2 linked regions of the Coturnix japonica genome follow. The main gene of each other region encodes a partner of the protein of the gene in region 2 in a complex. Links are inferred from orthologs where the notes say so. Each region holds a gene or a part of one and is shown on either strand. Other genes may lie near its edges.

The links.
Region 1: the proteins of NAA50 (region 2) and NAA15 are in contact, whole or in part, in a cryo-EM structure (PDB 6PPL), measured with the Homo sapiens proteins. The link is inferred for Coturnix japonica from reciprocal best matches to the Homo sapiens genes NAA50 and NAA15. Residues at the interface, in NP_079422.1 of Homo sapiens: Arg5, His14, Asn15, Lys17, Gln18, Arg21, Leu22, Val25, Phe51, Asn52, Ile54, Ala55, Leu80, Pro82, Tyr83, Leu86; in NP_476516.1 of Homo sapiens: Pro369, Pro370, Thr371, Leu374, Ser403, Thr404, Pro405, Thr406, Leu407, Ile408, Phe411, Glu433, Ala436, Leu437, Asp438, Thr439, Ala440.

The regions. Positions count from the first base shown.
Region 1 is NC_029519.1:25,692,650-25,697,024, forward strand, and holds part of NAA15 (N-alpha-acetyltransferase 15, NatA auxiliary subunit), read left to right. Parts: intron 1-142; coding exon 143-336; intron 337-2,009; coding exon 2,010-2,118; intron 2,119-2,690; coding exon 2,691-2,789; intron 2,790-3,399; coding exon 3,400-3,543; intron 3,544-4,275; coding exon 4,276-4,373; intron 4,374-4,375. UniProt on the Homo sapiens protein: Auxillary subunit of N-terminal acetyltransferase complexes which display alpha (N-terminal) acetyltransferase (NAT) activity. The NAT activity may be important for vascular, hematopoietic and neuronal growth and development.
Region 2 is NC_029516.1:71,047,017-71,051,391, reverse strand, and holds part of NAA50 (N-alpha-acetyltransferase 50), read right to left. Parts: intron 3,744-4,375; coding exon 3,607-3,743; intron 3,167-3,606; coding exon 3,047-3,166; intron 2,029-3,046; coding exon 1,962-2,028; intron 323-1,961; coding exon 142-322; 3' UTR 1-141. UniProt on the Homo sapiens protein: N-alpha-acetyltransferase that acetylates the N-terminus of proteins that retain their initiating methionine. Has a broad substrate specificity: able to acetylate the initiator methionine of most peptides, except for those with a proline in second position.

The sequences.
Region 1 (4,375 bases), on a different chromosome or scaffold from region 2:
GACTAGTAAACAAACTTTTACAAATGTAATAGCAGTATTGCTAGTTAGTAGATGTGGTTTAAAAGTCGATGGTATCTGACAGTTGGCACGAGTTAATGTTTGGCATCAATGTTGTCTGTTCTTGCCTTGTGTGTATGTACAGCAAATATGTCTGATAAGGAGCTGAAGAAGCTACGAAATAAACAGAGAAGAGCACAGAAGAAAGCACAGCTGGAAGAGGAGAAGAAGAATGCCGAGAAAGAGAAGCAACAGAGGAATCAGAAAAAGAAGAAGGATGATGATGATGAAGAAATTGGAGGCCCAAAAGAAGAACTTATTCCTGAGAAATTGGCTAAGGTGCTTACTAATGTTTCGTTAAGCAGTCTAAATTGGTGGAAAAGTTGCTGTGAGCTTGCAGACAGTTTGAAAGTCTTTGTAATAACCTGGTGATTTTATACCTTCCTACTTTTCATGGGCAGCAGGTTTGATGGGAAAACTGTCAAAAAATTTTATTGAATTACTGCTTTTGTGCCAAGTTTTCAATGATAGCAGTTGAAGTTGCAGGCTCTTGTTTCAGGTGTAGTTGTCTTCATGTGTAGATTGCACCCTATCCCTGCTGACTGTGCCTTACTTATGAGCTGAACAGGTGGATGTCTGTATGTAACATGATTGCCTTTGGACTCCTTATGGCCTGTATTAATTTTTAATTTATTAAGCATTGCTGCTTTGTGGAAAAGGAGACATATAGAAACAGTGCTTTAATAGCATTTAATCACGTTTGTTTTGTATGTGGAAGGAAAGTTTAAAGAAGCAATTTAGAAACAACAGTCAACTGGAGCGATGTGGATTTTGAAATCTGAATTAAGACATACCACCCCCTGCTGGGGGGTATGAAGGGAAGGTGACCTGGAACATCGTGATGATGTACATGGAAGGAGTAGGAAAATAATTGGCGAAAAAAAGATGGGGGATCATACTGGGAAAACAGGTAGCAAAAATGCTCTGCTCACAGTAGGATAGCATCCGGGTATTGATGGATTCACTATCAGTATTTTCATATTGCATGTGTAATGAATATTATTGGCTTCTGCAGGGTATTCTGGAAAGCAAAGTGAACCTTATACCCAGGAAGCAAGTGACTTTAGAAACTTAACTCTTCACACTATATTCCCACTGTTGCAAGAATCCCAATGCTTGTTAAGATTGGGGTGGATTCAGTGGCTTGCTCTGGAGCAGAGGATGTTACGGGATATGTTGTGAAAATCTAGGCTGTCCTCAAGTTTATAGGGAATAGTTGCAGCTACATAATGCATTCCTTTCACAAATCTTCCCAAATTATATTCCATATTTAGTATCAGAATCATGATTTAGAGAGCTCCAAATACAGTTGGTTGTCAGGACTGAAATACCATTTATGACATAGCTGGTCACTTGCAAACAGGTTTTCTGAGACAGTTGAAACCAGATTTCCTTGGTGGGTGATACGCTGTTTTGGCATTAAGCACACAGAATATACAAGTCACATTCCAAAGCTAAACAGTTTTTAAGTGTAGAGCTGTGACTTGTTTACATGAGCTCCCAAAAGCAATTGTAAACCATTAAGTTTTTATAATGAGAACTGATAGTCTGAGATTAGCAGGAACCCTGTGAGGTGTCTGTTGTTGTTTTCAACATTTCCTTGTGCAGTTTAATGGAGCATATTGCTTCAACATTGTAAAAGCGTTACAAACAGACAACAACTGGTGTTTATTAGAATTTAAATACATAGGGCAACAGAATTTTCTTGTTCTAATTATCCTCAATTTTTTAATGCGAGAGGTCTGTTTGTAAAGAGTCCAGGTACTGAATTTGTTTGTGTTAAAGCCATCCATTTACTGGGCTCTGTACTTACATGGGGTAAAATAAGCAATAATTTAAACAGGTTCATAAGGCTCACATGCATTATGTTTTGAAGGTAACCCTTTGGTGCTACTTGAATTGCTGGAGAGTTAGTTGTTATCTTAACTATGTGTCCTTCCTGGAATCTGTAGGTTGAAGCACCTTTGGAAGAAGCCATTAAATTTTTAACCCCCCTGAAGAATTTAGTGAAGAACAAAATAGAAACACATCTCTTTGCCTTCGAGATTTATTTTCGAAAAGGTCAGTACTGGTGAAATAAAACTGTTTGTTTGTTCACATTCTAATGTATGACGTGAAGAACCACGTGTTGATCGATTGAGGAATCAGGCCCTGTAGAGACACAGCATTTCATTGTGCAGACAGCATAGCCATTAGCATTCTGTGAAGAATACAAAGTTGGAACGCTTGCTGATTATCTGGTTTCTTTACTGCTCGTGTAAACCACAAGGCTATGGAACTAATTCTCCCTTGTTTGCATCACAAGTGTGCAGAACTGCACACCATGTAGAATTGATGCACACTTGCTAATGAGTCTTTTGAAGTGCTCTGTTTTTAGTTCTGTCAGTATCAGTTAAATATTATGCTTTATGAACTACTTAACTTCGTATTTACTTTCTAGTACAAGTCTAATTCACTGGCTAAATAAATGTGTATTGGAAAAAAAAAAAAAAAAAATGGTTCTCCTAAAATGTTCACCTTCAATTTGTTCTGATCATTCTAATTCCAAATGTTAAGTTTTCCTGCAACAGAAGGTATTGTGTTTCAGCATCATTATTTTGACCAAAGAATTTGCCAATTCTTTTCTTTTCCAGAGAAGTTCCTTCTGATGCTTCAGTCTGTGAAGAGAGCTTTTGCTATAGATTCCAGTCATCCTTGGCTTCATGAGTGTATGATTCATCTCTTCAGCAGTGGTATGTATCTGTTGGGTATGACTTCATCTGTACGTGTTTCCAGATGATGCCTAACCTACATATGGTATTTGATTGTTTGTTTACAAACTGTTAGCATAATTAATTCAACATATTTAATAAAGTTAGGAAGCTTTTTAAGCAACTATGTGTTAAATGAGGTATGTTTATTGTAAGTGCAGCTGGATTTAGTTAGTCTTTGAGTTAGTCTTTGAACATAAGTGTCTTTACAGCTGTGAGCAATGTGGTGAGCCCATGGAAGAGTGAGAGAAGCAAATGGAAACTGCAGAATGAATAACATGACTTCTCTGCTTGCAGCCTGTGTCAGTGCGTAAGGTTTAGAATCACGTCAGTCTTAGAGCTTAATAGGCTTTAATCAGCAAGGCAGAGAATGGTATTGGAGTAAATGACTTTAGCTTTTTTTTTTGAGCATCGAAAAACCATTTAGTTGAGCTTTTTCCAAGCAGTTCTGGTTACTTACCTTATTTTATACATCTTCCTTTGAGATATGTCCTTTTCAATCATACTGATAATTTGAGCATGACAAAAATAAAAACATAAAGTAGATTTTATTGTGATTACCTTTGGTTAACATTTTTTTCCACTTCATTAGTATCTGAAAGTAAGGATCTGCCTGATGCAGTTAGAACAGTGTTAAACCAAGAAATGAATCGGCTTTTTGGAGCAACTAATCCAAAGAACTTCAATGAAGCTTTCCTTAAAAAGAACTATGACTCACTACCGCATAGGTTATCAGGTATTTTGCCTTCTTCCTTTTCCTGCCGGGTTTCTGTATTTTCTTCAATCTAGCAGTGGCCTTTCAGTATCTGCAGCAGCCAAGTAAAAATTGCTTTTTCCATGCACTGTTGGGAGAAGTGTTCTGAGTACCCACAATCAAGTATTATAGTGGGAAATATTGTAATGCATGGAAAGCAGGATGCAAGCCACTTAACGGGTCAGCATTACTGTCATGGCTCCATCAGTCTAGAGTTGGTCACAATGAACAGTGAATTCATTCTTTGTATCTTCTGTGGCATCCAGGTCCCAAACATACCTGTGCTGTGGGACTCAGAGCTTCTTTTTGGTTGTGTTCTGTCACTGTATTATAACAAGGTCTTAATGTGCTCTTCTCTCCTGTGCCCCAGTCTCCATGTGCAGGGAATAGGAATGCTTCTTCTAGAGGGAACTGGGGTCTGTGGCAGCAGATCTGATCTGTTATCCTTGTTGCCCATACAGTATGCTGCCAAAAGCTCCTATCCTGCAGGATAGAAGCGACCTAGTTGTTTCTGTACTTTGTCTAGCTCTTAATAACAGCTGTGCTCCTGTCTGCTCAGGTATCACACTGTAATGCTTCAAGTTGTTTTATTTTGAAGTGCTACTGTAGATGTATGGTAATACTGCCTATTAGTCACACTACCTCTATTTTATGTTCACTTACAATAAATGTTTGTCTTCCATTGAGTGATGAAGCTTGTGTTTCTTCTTGTAGCTGCCAAAATGATGTACTATTTAGATCCTTCCAGTCAGAAAAGAGCGGTGGAGCTGGCAATGACCCTGGACGAATCCCTCATTAACAGAAATCTTCAGGT
Region 2 (4,375 bases):
AGGTCAAGATAAAAATAAAAAATAAAAAAAAAAAGAGGATGACAATGAAGGTGTGTAATTTCAAAAAAATATATATCAATAGGCCTCTCTTTCCTTATTTGGCGACAAGCAAGTGCAAGAAAATGTTCATTGGGGTTTTGTTCAGTTGTCGGTCTTTTGCACATCTGCGTTCTGGCCAAGACAAGGGGCTTTGAGGTTTTTCTGCAGCACGTGAGCATCTGCGGGCTCTATCCTCTTGTAGTAGTTCTTCTTCGTCTCAATGATCTCAAAGCCAAACTTCCTGTAGAAGTCAATTGCTGACTCATTGCTGATCTGGACATGCCTAGGACAGAAACGAGGATAGAGAGACGGGTTTCAGAACATTCCACAGTATGAAGTTATGCATTTGTGCTGTGAACAAAGGATAAAGAACATAAGCAAGATAAGGAAAGGAACTATCTATCCAGAGAGGAATGACTGTTGTCCCAAGACTTGCAGTTCTGGCCTTCCCACAGGTTATCCTGAGATAACACAGCTCCTGAATAATCCGTGACAAATATGAGAAATGGCAAATACTTCCCTTCAGGAAAACTATTCTAAGGAATACAAATAGCCAAGACTTAAATATTGATAGCTCAGTAATTTCAATTTTTCTTCACTTGGAAGTGATGGATATCTTTTGGGAAATATATAACAAAGTTATATATGATTAAAGGCTCTAAAGTGAGACTTTCACTATTTTTAAACTTCCTTCAGAAACACTTCTTAGATGACCCAAAGCAATGTGCAGGGTTCATCACTCAGACAGCTCTAATACAAAACTGATGATGACATTGATGTGACACTGAATAGGATTTTAACTCTTTACTCCTTGCTTACCATCCTCCTCTCCTCACAGAAAGCTAAGGCAGCGTAAAGCAGCCCTGCGGACTTACAACTCCTCTTTAAAATACCTGCTGCTCTTACAGAGCAGGCACAAAGATACAACAGTATTGGATTTGGAGGAATTTACACTTCCTTGGCAGAGCAGGTCTCAACTTGAGCAGAGAGTTATTCATTTGTCAGTAATACCAGTGTCCAAAACACTCTTCACTGCACATCTCCAAAAGTCCTGGCAAGAGTTCAGGCTGCTGTGGAAACACATCCTAAGTGAAACCAACCCACAGATGCTGCAGGACTATCCTCACAGCACCCTGTGATTGTGCCAGTATAACCAGGAAGTTGTGGCCAAGGAGGGAGCTGGCTCTGAAGTGATTTTGGCCAAAACTGCTCTATAGGGAACTACTAAAACAACCCTTTCAAATACCCCTGTCCTCTACCCCACTGCTTGTTCACATGTCAGTATCATGCCAAATGCTTACATAGATGTAGCTGATATTTTGGAAACAGACATAAAACCAACCAACCCCAGAAACAAAACACTAAGAGAAGATTTCTCCAGCTGTGTCAGATAACTGACCTAGTTTACTGTGCTGCTGCACAAACAGGTGACCTGGCACACTGCAAGAACTGGAGTAAGCAGCCAGGCCTTGCCACTGAATGCAAATACAGATAGTCTGTTAAGCACCTCTGGAGTGATGTTCTAATATACATATTAGTGTCGTAAGTGACAACAGACAGCAAATAACTTAAAACTGTATGCAGGGCTTGCAGTGTTTTCTATTATGGGACAATGCTGGAGAGTATAAAAAAAGAAATAAATTCCACCTTTTTCTTCAAAGAATGCAATGCAATTCTGCTATAGATCACAGCTTTAAAACAATTTTAAGATTAAGCAAGCAAGCTTTTGGTTTTCTCTGTATCACACAACAAACCCAGAATACAACACAACCTTCCTTCTGATGCTTTTTTGCTAAATATTTATGAGGAAAGTTGTCTCATAATCCAACTTAGAGACTATAAAACACTTCTGGATTTCCCTCTGTTTGATCCCATGTACATCTCTCATTCTCCATAATAGTATGGGTGTAACTCTTACTTACAGATAGATGTTGTCAAAAGTGCCATCTTTCTCACAGATGTTTAAGACATGATTCAGCATTTTAGTTCCTGCCAAAAGTTAAAGAAATACTTAAAATCAGAAGCGCACAATCAATTCTGTACTTAGTTCGCCAACCACTTTCTTGAGCAGTTAACCAAAGTAGGATAAAATGACAGACCATGTGCTGAGGACATTGACTTGGCCCACAGATCTGCAGCAGAGAGAATAACTCATTGTCGTATGGATAGTAAAGGACTACTACCCCTGAGCAGCAATAATTAGAAATTAAAGACAGATATAATTTAGAAGAATGAAGAAGTAACACAATGAAGAACAGATGCATTTCTGGGCTCCACAATATAAAAAGGATATTTAAGTCCTTGAAAGTAAAACCTTGGAAGAAAGAAGAGGCTGAGAGGCAACCTCGCTCCTCTCTGCAGCTCCCTGAAGTAGTGAAACAGAATAAGATGCCCATCTATGCTCCTGAGAACTGATGGCAGGACAAGATAGGCACAAGACTGCACAGGGTAGTAGGGGTGGTGCGTTCAGGCTGGATATTAGGAAACATTTCTTTACCTTGAGGGTGTTAAAACATTGGAACAGGTTTCCTAGAGAGGCAGCCATGCCTGTCAGCATTAAGAGACATTTGGACAATGCCCTCATCGACATGCTTTAACTGCTTGTTAGCCTTGAAGAGAGCACACAGGTGCTCTCATCCAAGTGAACTATCCCACGTGAACTGCATGCAGGTTCCATACTTCAGACTAACTATTTTAGAATATCTTTCTGCTTCAATTTTCTATCTACAGAAGGTGAGTGTTTACATCACAGAAATAAAACAATGTGACTAAAAGAATTTGAAATCCTGAACAATAAAGTCCTAAAAATAAATAAATAAATTCTGAAAGACGGGACAGCAGGAGCATTTTATAAGTCACTCTTTCCCCAAAGCAATTACTGCTCTGAAAGTACACCTTGAGCTATCTTGGTTAAAGTAGCAGAAAAACTCTACAAGGCAATTTAAAAGGCTGGCCAGACATTCTTGTTTGTTTGATGACTCAAGACACAAAAGAACCACCTCCTCACCTATTCCTAGCCGTCGGTAGGGTGCCAGGCATCCAAGTGTCATGATATACAGCCTCTTTTGGTTCTGGGAGTGATCCACCCTACAGCACACTGCTCCCACTGCGATATCATTGAAGTAGGCTGTCAGGGAGTGAAGCAAAGCGTTATCAGTTATACATCTCAAACTACACATGCAACTCCTTTGTTTAAATGCTGTAAATCCCTTCCCAGCTGTTAATTCCCTGACCCAGATAAAGTCATACACTATGACTAACACCAAGGCAAATTACCAGGGGTACTCTAACAGTGTTACTTATTCTTAACTGCAATAAGCAAATGACTTCAGGAGGTAAGTTGGTAGCACACATCTATGAAGTTTTCTGCTGTAACAGAAAACGTACCACTCTATAGTAAAATAGAAGCTATTTATAACATAAACCCTTTGAGGTTAAGACAGCAGCTTTTTAAGATTCCAGCTGTTATTTTTTGTTACATTAAGCAACAAAATAGAAGAATCTGCTACTCAAAAGCATTAAGGACGGCACATCACAGCCCATGATTGCTGGCAAGAACATAGATACCTAATTTGGCTAGTTCGCCAACCTCCAGTACGTCCTTGTAGAACTTGTCGTTGTAGCTGACAGGAAAGATGACTTGGTTTAGCCTCTTCAGCTGTTTAATGTTGTGGGGTGTCACATCTCCCAGCTCGATCCGGCTACTGGAACAAATCAAAACATGCTTAACATTGACACAATCCAAAAATTTCTACGGACACCAAAAATTAGTTACTTTATATTTAGAGAACTGCTCCACACAATGATCAGTTCAATACATAGATGAACTGCAGCGTTCAACCCACAAAATTCACTTTCATCAGTGGCTGCTTTAACTGCAAAAATACAATATAAATCAGTGCTGTATAAACAGGAGTTTGAGGCCACACTTTACACTGATATACTTATTAGATGTGCTGCTTTATGGAGTGATTGAAGAACATCCAGGAGAATACTAACCTCTGTAGAAACTTAAATGTGAAGGACAAGGCTAGGAGAGACCAAGAAAATGCAGACTTTGTACTGACAGGTGGCAGGAATTAATAAAGTTTAGACTTAGACACGAGTGCCATGCCACCATACATTTAATAACGTGTGCAGCAGAAAACTCATGTTAAGCCTATTAATATGTAAGTGTGCCACTGCCAAGGTGATAAGTGCATCAATTATGATCCTCACTGAAGTCATTCTTCCTGTTGATTGAGAGCAGAAACACTAGTTTGAAACACAAGTACACAGTGCATTGGGTTCCCAGCCAAATTTGTGTCTGAGTGTTGTATTCGAGTAAAGCACCTCA